3 linked regions of the Arabidopsis thaliana genome follow. The protein of the gene in region 1 interacts with the protein of each later gene in a pairwise test. Each region holds a gene or a part of one and is shown in the gene's direction. Other genes may lie near its edges. The genes, in order: DCP5, PRMT11 and AT2G45810.

The links.
Region 2: the proteins of DCP5 (region 1) and PRMT11 interact in a two-hybrid assay, tested with the Arabidopsis thaliana proteins (one large-scale study listed by BioGRID).
Region 3: the proteins of DCP5 (region 1) and AT2G45810 interact in a two-hybrid assay, tested with the Arabidopsis thaliana proteins (one large-scale study listed by BioGRID).

What each region holds. Positions count from the first base shown.
Region 1 is NC_003070.9:9,023,789-9,029,660, reverse strand, and holds DCP5 (decapping 5), read left to right. Parts: upstream 1-1,705; 5' UTR 1,706-2,104; coding exon 2,105-2,255; intron 2,256-2,559; coding exon 2,560-2,660; intron 2,661-2,739; coding exon 2,740-2,814; intron 2,815-2,904; coding exon 2,905-3,864; intron 3,865-4,036; coding exon of another isoform or gene 4,037-4,056; intron 4,057-4,149; coding exon 4,150-4,221; intron 4,222-4,349; coding exon 4,350-4,523; intron 4,524-4,603; coding exon 4,604-4,714; intron 4,715-4,853; coding exon 4,854-5,045; 3' UTR 5,046-5,320; downstream 5,321-5,872. Other genes in the region: ICME-LIKE1 (alpha/beta-Hydrolases superfamily protein), read left to right, coding at 267-332, 442-585, 676-766, 853-1,005; AT1G26100 (Cytochrome b561/ferric reductase transmembrane protein family), read left to right, coding at 5,580-5,702, 5,796-5,847. UniProt on the Arabidopsis thaliana protein: As a component of the decapping complex, involved in the degradation of mRNAs. Promotes P-body formation. Translational repressor.
Region 2 is NC_003075.7:14,490,023-14,494,580, forward strand, and holds PRMT11 (arginine methyltransferase 11), read left to right. Parts: upstream 1-1,599; 5' UTR 1,600-1,716; coding exon 1,717-1,954; intron 1,955-2,049; coding exon 2,050-2,060; intron 2,061-2,182; coding exon 2,183-2,338; intron 2,339-2,434; coding exon 2,435-2,498; intron 2,499-2,578; coding exon 2,579-2,721; intron 2,722-2,811; coding exon 2,812-2,899; intron 2,900-3,006; coding exon 3,007-3,122; intron 3,123-3,212; coding exon 3,213-3,363; intron 3,364-3,524; coding exon 3,525-3,730; 3' UTR 3,731-3,979; downstream 3,980-4,558. Other genes in the region: AT4G29490 (Metallopeptidase M24 family protein), read left to right, coding at 6-47, 189-259, 454-507, 588-693, 790-858, 945-1,088, 1,198-1,299; AT4G29520 (nucleophosmin), read right to left, coding at 4,034-4,222, 4,344-4,475. UniProt on the Arabidopsis thaliana protein: Methylates (mono and asymmetric dimethylation) the guanidino nitrogens of arginyl residues present in a glycine and arginine-rich domain. Type I arginine methyltransferase active on both histones and non-histone proteins.
Region 3 is NC_003071.7:18,857,551-18,863,498, forward strand, and holds AT2G45810 (DEA(D/H)-box RNA helicase family protein), read left to right. Parts: upstream 1-1,921; 5' UTR 1,922-2,285; coding exon 2,286-2,662; intron 2,663-2,749; coding exon 2,750-2,810; intron 2,811-2,897; coding exon 2,898-3,132; intron 3,133-3,279; coding exon 3,280-3,518; intron 3,519-3,739; coding exon 3,740-3,991; intron 3,992-4,084; coding exon 4,085-4,265; intron 4,266-4,342; coding exon 4,343-4,431; intron 4,432-4,530; coding exon 4,531-4,604; intron 4,605-4,689; coding exon 4,690-4,768; 3' UTR 4,769-4,819; intron 4,820-4,914; 3' UTR 4,915-5,420; downstream 5,421-5,948. Other genes in the region: PMM (phosphomannomutase), read left to right, coding at 8-59, 151-203; PLIM2a (GATA type zinc finger transcription factor family protein), read right to left, coding at 603-1,019, 1,103-1,231, 1,323-1,457; AT2G45820 (Remorin family protein), read right to left, coding at 5,597-5,873, 5,946-5,948. UniProt on the Arabidopsis thaliana protein: ATP-dependent RNA helicase involved in mRNA turnover, and more specifically in mRNA decapping.

The sequences.
Region 1 (5,872 bases):
ATTTTTCTGTCAAGAAGTTGAGAAAAACAAGTTTCTTTAATTGCCTGAGTATTTATATATGTGTTAACTCCAGTTTTTATCTAGCCACCAAGGTCTTTTGTAGAAATGCTAGGCAATTCGTAGAACGGTGAAGTAATGGTCAAATATTAGCTCAAAGTAGCAAGTAGATTCCTGCCTTCTACCCAACTAAAGCAACAAATTTTTTGATGAGGCCTCACATCATCTGCTTGGCTATTCTTAACAAACTTTGTGATCGTGATCTACAGATACAACCTTTTGAACCTTGTGGACCACTTCCATAGCAGGGGGCTGTACCGTTCCATCTTTCTGAGGTATAGCATTTTCTCTTTTGGAATCTTGGTATAGCTTACGTTACTCACCTGGCCAGTAGAGCAGCCTGAAATTTTTACAGTTTAACGTGTGACGTTTGATTTTCCTCAGCATCATGGAAGGAGAGGAATCATTAAGGCAGTTCTCTCCTGAATTAGTAGTGCAAAACCCGAATCTCAAACACATCATTGCTCGTCTCCCACCTTTTATTTTATTCCATGGTACTGATGACTACTCCATCCCGTCAGATGCAAGGTATGGTTTAACTTTTGTGTGTATTTGTCTGTCTTATGTATATCAGAAAGTTAAGATGATGATTGAACTTCTATTACACTATCTTTGCAGTAAATCTTTTGCGGAAACCCTCCAGAGGCTTGGGGCCAAAGCAAAAGTGATCCTTTACGAGGGGAAAACACACACGGATTTGTTTCTTCAGGTAAAATGGCCGGTCTTTTTGAGGTATGAATGTCTTGTCGGACAAGAACCTGAATTTTGATCTAGAAACTTGGTTATCTATGTTAGGATCCAATGAGAGGTGGAATAGATGAGATGTTTGAAGATATAGTAACAGTGGTTCTGGGAGACGATCAAGAAGCGATTGGTAAAAGCGTAGATAGAAGGCGTCTTGTACCTGAATTCATGTTGAAGTTGGCTCACTGGGTCAGTCCGTTCTAACTCCTACACTCTTATCTCCCAGAAGATCAAAGGAAGTACATTCCTTCTTCCAGTGATACAGACGGGTCAATGTGCATATTACTTAACAAGGAAAACAGATCCCACTATACTTTGACGATACAGATGATTTTGAACTTTGATGATGATGATATTGTATCCCGGTTTGCAAATACACTGATTATTTCGTCATTGCCTGTTTGTGTTTTTGTAGAACACTGAAAGTGCATTAAAGAAACAAGGCTTCATTGACTTTGTCACCTTAATTAAACTGTCTTTGGTCTTCTTCTTCTCTGATCATTAATCATTGGTTGCACTATTTTCTTGGCATCAGTTGACTTCTCTACCTATATACAAAGTGCCGAACCAGTGTCATTTAACAAGGAAGAAATGTAGGTCTGATTTTTTTTTTAATAATTAAAACTCTCCAAAGGTGTGATTTTCTTGAGAAAAAAAGGTGTGATTTTCTTGACAAAAAAAGGTGTGATTTTCTTAACCCCAATTTTCAACTAAAAATGTAGGTGAAATCACCAAAAATATTTCTCAAAATTCATTTTTTAAAAGGCCTTTTAATTTATGAATAACACTAGATTTGATACTAGGATTAATATGTAAATAATAAGCTCTAACCATCCTACCAAAATAAAATAATAAACTCTAACCAGAGTAAGCAATCAGAACACGAGCCGTGGGATTGGAATGGCTCGAGTAGGCTCGTAGCTACTCGCCTAAACACACCATTGGCGGTGAATTACGAAATAAACCCTTCGCGTGTACACGAGGCATACTTCGGTTAGTGATTAGAGAGAAGTCAATGGAGCCATACTAGGCTATAATGGTCAGATTGATATTATTTTCTGAATTGGGCTTTTATGGGAATGGATAATAAAAAAGAGATGCTCGATCTCCCCAAATTAGAGTAAACCCTAATTGTGTATCTGTAGCTTTCTCTCTCTCTCTCTCTCTCTCTCTCGCGAAGAAGAAGAAGAAGAAGGAGATCAAGGAACTCGAAGTGTGTGTGTGTGTGTTTGCCTTCTCTTGTCTTTTAGTTTTTTCTCTCTTTGGCTGTGATTTCGTCGGCGAAGAGAGACATAGATCGGATATGGCGGCTGATAATACGGGTTCGAAATCGAGCTCCGCTGCGGATTCTTACGTTGGGAGCTTGATTAGTTTGACATCTAAGAGTGAGATCAGATACGAAGGGATCCTTTACAATATTAATACAGATGAATCCAGTATCGGACTTCAAAACGGTACGATCCGTTTCCACTTCCGTTTCGGGATTACCAGATTTGTTAAGTGTTAATTTTGGTGGTGTTTTCTCTCGGATTTGGTAGAAACTAATGGTTTCTTCCGTTAATCGTTAAGAAAGTTTTCTCCAATCTGAACTGTTTAGCTCGATTTGAAAGGAATGTTGTTTTAGTGCTCATGTCTATTACTTGAGTTCTCAAATTGTAATTGATGTCTTGAAACTATTGGTTGAGCATAAAAGATCAGTGTTTAAGTGGTCGATGAGGTAGATTTTGGTTCTGATCCCTGAACTTTTGTTGTGTGTAGTTCGATCATTTGGAACTGAAGGAAGGAAAAAAGATGGTCCACAAGTTCCTCCAAGTGACAAAGTTTACGAGTACATATTGTTCCGTGGAACTGATATCAAGGTATTCAGCAGGATTATGCTAATACTTCTATGTAAGTAGCCTGCCGATTTTGTACTCTGATTGTTCTTGTTGTTGGTAGGATTTGCAAGTCAAAGCTTCTCCACCAGTTCAGCCTCCTGCATCTACTATAAATAATGACCCTGCTATAATTCAGGTGAATGTTAGAAAAGTTGTAAGATTACATTGTCTGGGATTTTGGAGTCAATTGATGTAACCCCATCCTCCACTTGTCTTGGTTTTGCAGTCTCACTACCCTAGCCCGATGCCAACATCTGGTAGCTTGCCTTCTACTGCGAGCGGGTCACTACCTGACATTAGTTCTCATAATGGACAACCTGGACAACATGGAATGGGATTTCAAAACGCAATGCCTTTGTATCAGCCTGGTGGAAATCTTGGTTCATGGGGAGCGTCACCACAACCACCAATGTATTGGCAAGGTTTCTACACCCCACCTCCCAATGGCCTTCCCCAATTGCATCAGCAGTCTCTGATTCGACCCCCTCATGGGCTGCCAATGCCCAACTCTCTTCAGCAACCCCTGCAATATCCTAACTTTAATACCCCTCCTCCACCTACTGGGTCATCATCTTTGCAGGGGTCAAGCTTGCCAGAAGCACCCTCTTCATTGTTTCCTTTTAGTACCAGTTCTCAAATGTTAGCTCCTAGTTCATTGCCTTTCCCTGGTCTACCACCTGTGACGCTCTCGTCTAGCCTGCAGTCTACACTGCAATCAGCACCATCTCCTTCACTAGCTTCAGAGATGGCACCTCCGTTGCTGTCAAACAAAGCTCCTATTACTGCTCCTCCTACCCTACCTCAGGATACTAATTTGCTTTCGTTTTCTCTATCTACTACGAGAGCCACAGAAGCAAGTACTGGCCTTCCACTGTCTAACAAGCCTAGTGTAGTAACTGGTCCAATTTCTCCGCCGCAGACAACACCATTAACATCTGCTCCTGTTGCGGGAGTTTCTAGTTCCATTAGCCAAGATAAGCCAAAACCTTTGTTGGTTACTCCTGGTCAACTGCTGCAGTCTGGATCTTCTGCAGTCTCTTTGTCCCCACCCTCGACAAATGCTGATAAAGATGTTGAGGTGGTTCAAGTATCGTCATCAGCTGGGTTGGAACAATCTGTTCCAGTTACATCCGAAGCCCAACCTCCAATACTGCCATTGCCTTCCTCTGCAAGACCAACTCAGAAGGTTTTTAACTTACATAACATGCCAAATCCTTCAATGTCTCTTATTAATATCATAAAGAACCTTGAATTTGCTGGTGTCTTAGTTAGCTGGAATAAGGTGTAACTGTTATAACTGCACCTGTGGTAATTCCCATTTTAATATTCCATGCTGTGTCTCTTTTGCTTTGTTGAAGATGCATGAAAATCTCTCAGGGTTCTTTGGTGTATAAGATGGTTTCTTTGCATGTCTACTTATAAGTCTTCATGGTGAAATTATTTAAACTCAATTGCTGATTTTTTTTCTCAGCCAAACGGGCATTCTTTCCCAAATCATAATGGTTACAGGGGACGTGGAAGAGGACGAGGAAGAGGAGCAGGGGTACTATTCTTCTCACTCATTTGTAGAATGTGACGGCATTTATTTGTTTTTACCAAGGAAAAGATCTACCAGTTTAAAATAGCTCATGAACTTTAGCCATGTATGCTAATAATTCTTCTTGTTGGCAGAGATCACACCAAGTAATGAAATTCACTGAAGATTTTGATTTCACAGCAATGAACGAAAAGTTCAATAAGGATGAAGTATGGGGTCATCTTGGGAAGAGTACTACCTTAGATGGTGATGAAGATGATGATTCCCCGACTGTAGATGAGGCTGAGCTTCCTAAGATCGAGGCCAAAGTAAGTGAAGTAGACTTATAATCAAGTAAAGCCACCATATTCTCCCTCTCTGGTCTCATCCACATTGTTTATTGATGTAGCCTGTTTACAACAAAGATGACTTTTTCGATAGCCTATCATCAAACACCATTGACCGAGAGTCCCAAAATTCAAGGCCTAGGTTCTCAGAGCAACGGAAACTAGATACTGAGGTACAATCTATATATTTCCACACTCTGAATAGCAAGCAGACTGGACAGAGTTTGTCCCCCCTCGTTGCTGGAGATACTCGAATTCCCAGAATCGTAAGAGAATCCCATTGACTAACAGAACGTATTGCTATGATTTCAGACATTTGGTGAATTCTCGAGATTCCGAGGAGGTCGAGGAGGGCGTGGTGGTTATGGACGAAACAACGGTTACTCACGTGGTGGTTATGGAGGGCGTGGTTATGGCGGTTATGGTGGCCGTGGCGGCGGCGGCGGTGGCTACGGGTATGGTGGACGTGGCCAGGGGAGAGGCGTATCAAATCGTACTACCTAAACTGTTCTGCTAGAAAGGGCTCTAAAGACTCAAAATCCAATGGGAGCTCAGCTCTTGAGTGCTTTTGGTATGTGGCAATAAAACAAAAACCGAGTCCCGTGTAATGTTTTCTGTTATAAAACCCCACTTGTGTGGTTTTGGAGTGTATTAATTTGATTTCTGATCTTTGTTTTTAAGACTTGGTAATAGCGTCGTTCTTCTTATATCCAATGTTATTTTGAACTTTTGTATACTCGACATTTGGTGTGAAATGCATTTTCTATTTACTCTCAATAGCTTGTTGCTGTTTACTGTTGGTAGCTTCTTGTCTAAATTTCAAAAGTCAAACATTTTGACTTTCAATACAGTACCAGCAGCCTTGAATCAAATGGGCCTTATTAAGAGATAGAGAGGTCTTCTTTATACAAGATCCATAAAATGTCCTCTCTATTTCTCAAATTATCATTTTGTCGGCAACTCTAGTGTCTGAGAGACTGTAGTCACTGTACTCTACAGTAGCACTACTTACTCAACTTTTGAAGAGAGAAAACAGAAATGGGAAGTGTAGATCCTTCAAGACTATCATTGGTCTTGTTTGCGAGACTGTCCGGTTTAGTAGTCGCAGTTTCGGTTCTGTACTGGGCTCTCTTCCTGCCTAATCTAGGACTCAGCTACTCTGTAACTATCACACTCCCTTCCTCGTTGATATCAAATTGGATCTCTCTCTCTCTCTCTCTTTCTCTCTCTAATAAAGTTTTTATACCCTTGTAGACTCTTCATCCTCTGCTGATGGTGATTGGCTTCATTCTTGTAAGTGGAGAAGGTAGTGATGATCCCTCCTCATGCCC
Region 2 (4,558 bases), on another chromosome or scaffold:
TGCAGGTCAATGGTAAATTTACAAGTGACCAGAGTCTAATCTACAATGTAAGTGCCTTACAAGATTGGTGCAACGTGGATGTATTAGAAATGTGTGCTCTATTTTTTGTCTTCGCACAATCCAGAGTTTGGTGAGTCTCTTGAAGCTTTACATCTGAATAAGTTTCTCTGATTTTGCCTTCCTTTCAGGCTGTTCTGGATGCACATAATTCTGTAATCTCTGCGATGAAGCCAGGAGTAAACTGGGTGGATATGCACAAGTAAGTCTTACTGAGATGCTATATAGCTCTGTTCTACTATGCATGCAGATGCAGTAATTGGGATTGACAATGTAAGCGTAAACTCAGTTGCTTTGGTCCATTTTGATTTATCCTCTTGTTAGGGAGATAAATTGAAATACATCTCCATATGGTTATTCAGCTTTCTTTGTCGACTGAAGCAAATTAATGTACAGGTTAGCTGAAAAAATCATCCTTGAGTCACTGAAGAAGGGGTCCATACTCACTGGGTAATTCTCTCTGTGTTAGACATTTCAATACTCTTCTCTAAAGGTTAATTCATTCTCATGGTTTCGTTCTCTGTTCCTAGTGATGTAGATGACATGATGGTACAGCGCTTGGGTGCTGTTTTCATGCCTCATGGACTAGGTCACTTCATGGGCATCGACACTCACGATACTGGTGGCTACCCAAAGGTACATCAAATCTTTTTTCAACCCAATAGTATCATCACGTAAATAAAACCACAGTCCCTGTGTCTTACCCGTTGCTTTGATCTTTCATTCTTTTAGGGAGTGGAGAGACCAAAGAAACCTGGATTGAAGTCATTACGAACTGCAAGAGACCTACTTGAAGGAATGGTAAGGGCCGATTGTTTCAAGTAGAAATGCTTTTGGTTCTTCTCATTTATCGTCTCTGTTCATTGTCCTAATCGTATTTATGTCAGGTAATAACGGTGGAACCAGGATGCTATTTCATCAAGGCATTGCTGTTCCCAGCCATGGCAAACGCAACAACCTCTAAGTTCTTCAACCGTGAAACAATAGAGAGATTCAGAAATTTCGGAGGTGTCAGAATCGAAAGCGATTTGGTAATGTCAAATTCATATTCACTACAACGTCTACAAGTTAAAACACTCTCAAGAGTAATGTCATATACAATAATCTCATTTTGTTGTATATGTGTGATTTCTTTTTTAGGTCGTTACTGCTAATGGCTGCAAGAACATGACGAATGTTCCACGAGAGACATGGGAGATCGAAGCTGTGATGGCTGGAGGGCCTTGGCCACCGACCAAGTGATCGTAGCTACTCTTAGGCAGCTTATGGAAATTAAAAACTTGATAAGTAAAACTCAATAATACAACCTTTATTTTTGTTAATGGGAATAAGGAAAAATTGCCTGTGTTTTACTAATCTTGTACATGTAGTTTATTTTGTTTCAGTGTCTTGTTTGTGTGGTTGGATATTAAACCGATTGAATGTTCAAGTGGACAGATAAAATCTAACCGGTTTGGTGCTTGTCGACGAAAACCGAACCGGTACAGAAAATATCTTGAGCACAATTTTAGTTCTAATATAAAATTCATTAACAAGAGAGAAAAAAAAAACTTCAAATTAAAAGCTTCGTGTCTTCATAAAACCCTAATCTCGCGACTTCGTCTCTATCCCCAAAAACCCTTTCCTCTCTTCCTTCTTGTGTGAGACCGAGAAAAAAAGATGACTAAGAACAGTAACCACGACGAGAATGAGTTCATCAGCTTTGAACCAAATCAGAACACGAAGATACGCTTTGAAGATGCTGATGAAGACGAAGTTGCTGAAGGGTCTGGTGTTGCCGGCGAGGAAACTCCCCAAGATGAGTCCATGTTCGACGCCGGAGAGAGCGCCGACACCGCTGAAGTAACTGATGATACCACCAGTGCCGATTACTACTTCGATTCTTACTCTCACTTTGGTAAATTCCCTTTTTTCAAGTTCTATTTTTTTCCTTGTGCTCTTTGGTTATGAATTCTTACTAAGAGTTGAATTTGGTTCCACTTTTTTTTGCAGGAATCCATGAAGTAAGTATCGAGGACAAAGCTCAGTTTTTTTTGTTATAGTTTTTGTTCTAGAAGTTTAATGTAATTCATTGTGTTTTCTTCTGTATATATCTGATGACTGAATTGAGAATGGTATCTGACAGGAGATGTTGAAGGATGTTGTGAGAACAAAGACTTATCAGAATGTTATTTATCAGAACAAGTTTCTTATCAAGGACAAAATTGTTCTTGATGTTGGAGCTGGAACCGGAATTTTGTCTCTGTTCTGTGCCAAGGCAGGAGCTGCTCATGTCTACGCTGTATGTCTTCAATCTTTCAGTCTCTTTTTTAATAATCATAAGTAAGAAGAATCTTTTTCAATTTTGACTGATTTGATTGAGGATGTTTCTTAATAGGTTGAGTGTTCTCAAATGGCTGACATGGCAAAGGAGATTGTTAAAGCTAATGGATTTTCTGATGGTAGGTCTTTTATCCATGTTGAGTTGTATTCAAATCGATAACTTCTGTTCTGTAACATGATTTTTGTTTTATCGATGCAGTTATTACGGTATTGAAAGGGAAGATTGAGGAGATAGAGCTTCCCACTCCTAAAGTGGATGTGATTATATCGGAATGGATGGGTTACTTTTTGTTGTTTGAAAATATGTTGGACAGTGTCTTGTATGCTCGTGATAAATGGCTTGTAAGTTACAGCTCCACCTTGTTACATGAGATTCTTAGTTACCAAAACCAATTAAATGAAATCTTCTTGGTCCTGTGTTTTTATGGATAGGTTGAAGGTGGAGTTGTGCTACCAGACAAAGCCTCTCTGCATCTTACAGCCATAGAGGATTCAGAGTACAAAGAAGACAAAATCGAATGTGAGTGCATTGATTTGACACGTTTTCTCGTCTTTTTTTTTCCAACATTGATCTTGATGTCTGTTGAGATTTGCATTTTTAATTTCTTTTTTGTTGTTCTGCTACAGTTTGGAACAGTGTGTATGGTTTTGACATGTCATGTATTAAGAAAAAAGCTATGATGGAACCACTTGTTGACACAGTCGACCAAAACCAAATCGTCACCGATAGTAGGCTTCTAAAGGTATATAAGATATCATATGATGATGATTAGTAGTATCTCTTTACCTGTGTGACTAATGTTCATTTCATTATTCTTATGGGTTTGTAACAGACGATGGATATCTCAAAGATGTCCTCTGGTGATGCTTCCTTCACAGCTCCCTTTAAGCTTGTTGCACAACGCAATGACTACATCCACGCCCTTGTAGCCTACTTTGATGTATCGTTTACCATGTGCCACAAGCTGCTGGGCTTCTCAACAGGTTCAGATCTCTACAATCTTGTGCTAGCTCTGAGTATTCTATTTTTTTTTGGTGCAAAGAAATGGCATGTTATCGAATAACTTGGTTTGAAGTTTAAACATAGCACATTGTTTCATTATGATCTGAAACTTGCACTGAACAACCATATGTGTCACATGCAGGACCGAAATCCCGAGCTACACACTGGAAACAAACAGTTCTGTATCTAGAAGATGTGTTAACCATATGTGAGGGTGAGACAATCACTGGAACTATGTCCGTTTCTCCTAACAAGAAGAATCCTCGAGACATTGACATAAAGCTAAGCTATTCTTTGAATGGCCAGCATTGCAAGATCTCAAGGACCCAACACTACAAAATGCGTTAAAGTTCTCTCATAAGAAGCAGAACTTCAGAAGATACAATTCTCATATTGTGATTTAGTTTTTATATTTCTTTTTCTCCAGATTACAACTTTCCATTTGCTTCACATTGCAACATTTGCTTCATCTCAAGTTAAATTAATGATTTTGCTCTAAACCATCTCGTGTATGTTCCTTGTTGATCACAAAACTGATGTCTGTCAACACTTTTCAATATTCTCTCCAAAAGATTATAGAAACTAAAGGAAATCTACAAAAAGCAAGTGTGAAGAAAGAGTACATTAAACAAAACCAGTTTAAAACTGTTTCTATAGCTCAGACTTTCCGGATTTAGGTTTCTTTGAAGAAGACGATCCAAGTCCTTTCCACCATCTCCGGACCCGGTTTGACACTTTCTGTGCATGTCTCTTCAGAGCCTCACCTTTCTTCTTGAACTCCTTAGTGATTGTCTTCTTCAATTCTTCTGTTTTACTCTCTTTCTCTTTCAAAACTTTTCCCTAAAAACCAACAAAACCATACAAGTGTTTTAGAGAAAAGAAAGAAAGATCTCGGTTTCCTTCTTCTTCATGAAAGTTTAACCCAAAGATTTGATCATTTGAAAAAAGAAACTTTATGTACCAAGTTCTTGGGAAACTTATCATCTTCTTCCTCATCTTCATCATCGTCGCCATCATCATCTTCATTACCGATATTCCCCTTCTCTATATCTTCTCTAGAGTATACCTTCATGCCAGGTGCTCCTGGCATACCCTGAACATAGCGGTAAAGAGTAAGCTTAAGATCATTCCATGGATATGCATTCCTTGCTTAGTGGTATTGATTGACGTCATCAA
Region 3 (5,948 bases), on another chromosome or scaffold:
TCTGCAGGGTGGAAATGACTATGAAATCTATGAATCACCAAAAACAATTGGCCATTCAGGTCAGCTACTTGGATATATTATCGTTTAATCTCTGTATGTTTGTGTTGCGAGATATTTTCATGACAAATAGGATTGTTTCTGTTGTTGCAGTTACGAGTCCAGATGACACAGTGGCAAAATGCAAGGCTCTGTTCATGTCTTGAAACACTACTCATCTCAAGAACACAGTGTCAAGAGTTTGATTCTTCTTTGGCGAAATCTCACAACTCTTGATTACAAGAAATGGAGAGAAGTGTGTTTGAATGCTATCTATACCGTATGTTTTGAATTTTGATTCATCAAATAAAATATCTTGTTATAACCTTTTGTTTCAGAACATGGTCCTCAAAGTTTTAAAACTAAAGGTTAAAAATATCCTCTTCAAAAAAAATTGGATGTTAAAGATTTTGTTTACAACAGATTCTCTCCAAAAAGAGCTTTAAAACTTTACAAGAATTTACAAGAAGAAACAACAACAATTTGTATTTATATATTCATTAAACAGAAACGCATATAAAAACTTCAAACTTGAGAACTGATAAGATCATTCCTCCACGACATTTTCAAGACTCAACGACCGGCTCAGGCTCCTCTTCTCCTGCAGCTTCAGGGGCAGCGTCATCTTCTTTTGCTTCGGGAATTGAGGCGGTGTCGTCAGGTTTGTGATCATCAGAAGGAGGAGAAGCGCCACCAGAAGAGGCGGATCGACGGTGGTTAGCAGCGGCTTGATGGACGTGATTGTAACTGCCTTTCTCGAGAAAGAGCTGATTGAAGTGGACTTTACAGTAGAGGACGCCATTAAGAGAAGCGTAAGAAGAGTGAGTCAAAGGACAACCACTGTGTGTGCACCTGAAGCAAGTCTTGTGGTAACTTTCTCCTTCCATTGTTACTTTCTCAAGTGGGTAAACCGTCTTCTTACAAGTCGCACATTTGTCTTGTGTTCCACTGAAGAATGATGATAACTTGCTTGGAGTTCGAGTCTTGCAGTATCCATCAATTGAGACAAATCAGATGAAAAAAAAGAGGAAATAAAAACAAGATGATGAATCTTTGAAGACATTACCAGATGATCATTGGGCTTCTCGGTCTTTCCTGCCTGAAAATTCTTGCTGTAATTGCCAGATTCTTTGAAAAGCTGTTCGAAGTGTGGCTTACAGTAAAGAACTCCATCCATTGATGAGTAATTGCTTATCTGTGTTAAGAAAAGATGTGGTCTTTTAAAACAATGAAGCATTGTCGAAAAACAGAGTAACAATGGAGGAAGAAGAAGAAAAGAGAAATACCACGAGAGTGCCTTTGCAATGGGTGCATCTGAAACATGATTTGTGATAAGTATTACCCTCTAATGTTAACAAATCCATCACGTACACGGTTTTGTCACAGGCCTTGCATTTATCCAATGTTCCTGTAAACGACATTTTCTCTCTTTCTTTCGGATGTTAGATTCAAAAAGTTTGTTCTTCGTTCGCCGGTTCTTGTCTTAGGACACGACCAAACGACGACGAGAGAAAAAACACCAGGTTTTGTGTTTTTTTCTTTTCATCTCTCAAGTTCTCTGTCTTATTTATCAAAAATTCTTGAAGAAATGAGAATTTGTGGTAATTTTGGTTCTAGTGGTAGAGATTCGAAAGAGGAGAAGCCATTCAATCATTGTCGATCATCAAAATTCTAATTTCAATTTTACAATTTTAGACTCCGAGCACAATGAAGGGTATCGACGTTTTCAGCCGTACGCTCTGTTTGCGGAAGATCCGAAGATCTATTTTTAAAAATTACGAGAGAATAATGATAAATACAAAGAAATGTGGGGGTTATTTCATAATTATACGAACGTACAAGGCTAATTTAGTGAAATAAATGTGGATAAGAGTGAGTGAAACTGAAGAAGAGCCTGTCCGTGTAATGAAAATCCACTTGACGACCTAAACAACAACAACGACTCCGGCGAGTGTATGTATCTTTCACTTTCTCACTAACCAACCAGACGACAAAAGAAAATTATTCATCTTAGCTAAGCTCGATTAGTTTCTGGCGGAAACGGTTTTGTGGATAATTGTTAGCATATTCCGATCTTGCCCTCCCCCGAGAGAGAGAGTCCAATCAATCAATCAATCAATCATCTCTTACGAAGCTACGTGTGACCTAACATTCTCCAGATTGTTGTTTATAGCCTCTTCTTAGATTTACGATTTGTGAGCTTGTGAAGATTTCTTGGTAGAATTAGAGTTCTCTGTTTCGAGATCGAGATGAATAATAATAATAATAATAGAGGAAGATTTCCACCGGGGATTGGTGCGGCGGGTCCTGGTCCGGATCCTAATTTTCAGTCACGGAATCCGAATCCACCTCAGCCTCAACAGTACCTTCAGTCACGGACTCCGTTTCCACAGCAACCTCAGCCTCAGCCTCCTCAGTATCTCCAGTCTCAATCTGATGCTCAGCAGTACGTTCAGCGAGGTTATCCCCAGCAGATTCAACAGCAACAGCAACTGCAGCAGCAACAACAACAACAACAGCAGCAGCAAGAACAACAATGGTCTCGACGGGCTCAGCTTCCTGGTGATCCAAGTTACATAGATGAGGTCGAAAAAACGGTTCAATCTGAAGCTATTAGCGATTCTAAGTAAGTGCTCGTTTGGAAGAATGGTTATTATGAATGGTGCTCTTGTTGTGATGTTTAACGGGTTATGTGTTTTCTTATGCTTATCAGTAATGAAGACTGGAAAGCAACCTTAAAGCTGCCACCACGAGATAATCGTTACCAGACAGAGGTATGAATGATTGCATAGTTATATGATTTTTGTTTTGACAAGACAGCAGTTCCCTTAGAACTTAGTTTTTCCATATCTTGTCTTCAGGATGTGACTGCCACTAAAGGAAATGAATTTGAAGATTACTTTTTGAAGAGGGATCTGCTTAGGGGAATATATGAGAAGGGTTTTGAAAAACCATCTCCTATTCAGGAAGAAAGCATTCCCATTGCTTTGACTGGTAGTGATATTCTTGCTAGAGCCAAAAATGGTACTGGGAAGACTGGTGCCTTCTGCATTCCTACCCTTGAGAAAATTGATCCAGAGAACAATGTCATTCAAGGTTTTTTACTTTCCTTTTAGAACTTTTCTCTGTTAAAAGATCTCCTACCTTTCTCTGTAGTGAGTTAGTTGATCAGTGGAACTTCCAGTGAAACCCTACTTTCTTACTGAGTTTTCAGTACTTTTGTTGATCTTTTTTCTTATGCAGCCGTAATTCTAGTTCCAACCCGAGAGCTCGCCCTTCAGACATCCCAGGTTTGCAAGGAGCTTTCCAAATATTTGAAAATTGAGGTTATGGTCACCACTGGCGGTACCAGTCTGAGGGATGATATCATGCGATTGTATCAACCTGTCCATTTACTGGTTGGAACTCCTGGAAGAATATTAGATCTTGCCAAAAAGGGTGTGTGTGTTTTGAAAGATTGTGCCATGCTTGTAATGGATGAGGTGAGTTCCTAATTCTATTACCCCTGAGCTAGATTTTTCTTATTAACAAACATTGTTGGATTTTTGCCCAAAAGGACATTTCTAGTTTTTCCCTGAACATAACTTTCTCTAAAGTTAAAACAAAATCGATTCCTCTTATGCTTCATATTTGCAGATTTTGATTGAATAATTTTCTTTTCCTCATGAGCTCATGGTCTTAACTCGCAAACATCTTTTTTCAGGCCGACAAGCTTTTGTCTGTAGAATTTCAACCTTCTATAGAGGAGTTGATACAGTTCTTGCCAGAGAGCCGGCAGATTTTGATGTTTTCAGCTACATTTCCTGTCACTGTGAAGTCTTTCAAGGATCGGTATCTCAAGAAGCCTTACATTATCAATCTCATGGATCAGCTCACACTTATGGGTGTTACCCAATATTATGCTTTTGTTGAAGAGAGACAGAAGGTGCACTGCCTTAACACGCTATTCTCTAAGGTCAGAGTTTTGTTACAGTCTTAAAACCCCAATGTTTTATTTTCTGGCTACTTGATGTATCTTTTAAAGGAAATATTGTTTTATCTATTGCAGCTCCAAATAAACCAATCCATTATCTTTTGCAACTCTGTTAATCGTGTTGAGCTGTTGGCCAAGAAAATTACAGAACTTGGTTACTCATGCTTCTATATCCATGCAAAGATGGTTCAAGACCATCGGAACAGGGTTTTCCATGATTTCCGCAATGGTGCATGCAGAAATCTTGTTTGCACTGGTACGTTTTGTGTATTTCATGTGCTTGAACATTGACAAATGTGTTTATGTTTCACGGGGAATGTCTGTCTGTTGCAGATTTGTTTACACGTGGGATTGACATTCAAGCTGTGAATGTGGTGATAAATTTCGATTTTCCTAGGACTTCTGAGTCGTATCTACATAGGGTATGTTAAGGGAAGCCGATTTTGGTTTATCTTCTTGAGAACCTGCTCTGTTTTATTTGTTCAAATTGTGAATGGGTTTTTGCTTCATTATATTACCAGGTAGGCAGATCAGGACGATTTGGACACCTTGGGTTGGCTGTGAATTTGGTAACTTATGAGGACCGCTTCAAAATGTTCGTGTTTCTTTTTCTCAACTGGTGTGGCCTCTCTTTTCATAGATGCTATAGCTTTCTTACTCAATTATTTGGTTTCCAACAGGTATCAGACAGAGCAAGAACTTGGAACTGAAATCAAGCCCATACCTTCACTTATCGACAAGGCAATCTACTGTCAGTAACTTCTACCTGGTGTACATTCTCTACCCGGCAAGGCATTGATGGACTAACCGGTGAGACAAATCCCTCTCTAGGCATCTTGACATTAGAACTAACCTGCATTGCTCATAGACCAAATTTCCATTGATTTTGGTTTGCGGTTATTTAGGTGTAGTGAGGAGGCAAATCATTCAGCTTTGGCAGCCACTAGCTCGTTCTAGAGATGAAGGCAACACATAGAGTACTGTACTGAGGCAAGAAGAGACAGTATAGGTGGTTGATGGCGATGGAAGCGGTTGATTGTGTCTAAACCTTTAAAGCAGTACCGGCTTGATTTGGTTTGAATTGAAGACTTCTTCTGCTGCATGATATGAACCTTAAAGTTGTCTTCTCTCATCTCTAATTTTCATGTTCTTAGAAACCTTTTCACCTTTTCATTTTGATGTTCTCTCATCTTGAAGACTTGAGAGGAATTTCCGAGTAGTGAGATCAAACCGAAGAAGACATTTTAACTTCATTCGCTTGTTTATTGCTTTTAGATCTCCACCTGTGCCTGAACTGTTTAAGGATTATAGTTGGTGTGTGTCAAGTCAAGTGTCTTAGCATTTTAAGAGTTACAGATCAGATGTGAAGTCGTACAACTGAAACAAAAGGCAAAACAAGATTTGATGCTTCATACAATTATACTCCATTAATCTTTCACTTTTACACACAATCACCCAATATGTAAACAAGACACAAACGACCAAACAAATAACAAAAACTAAAAAGAGTTGTTGAATCACACAAAAACAAAAGAAGAAGAAAGAAACAGAGATGAATTGTTACAAAGATACAAATTCAATAAAGGCTTAGAAACATCCACACGTTGCCTTTGGTACTACACCAGTGGCTCTATACTTAGCACCCATTTCTTCAGCTTTGAGAAGCTCTTCTCCTTTTTTAGCTTCAACCATTGCTCTCTTCTCTTCTGCTAACTTGTGGATTGCAGCTACTTTGTTCTTCATTTTCTCACCGTACTGCGCTTTTTTCTTCTCTAATTTTTCCTCGATCTTCCTAAGTTGAGCTTCTACGGCTGCTTTCTTGCTATTTTCCCAAGCATGCACATCAGAGATCTTCTTTTGTGCCCTGTCCATTTCAAGATCATCAGAGATCTGTAAGCAATAGTAATCTTTGGGTGAGAAGATGATGAAAGTTTACCTG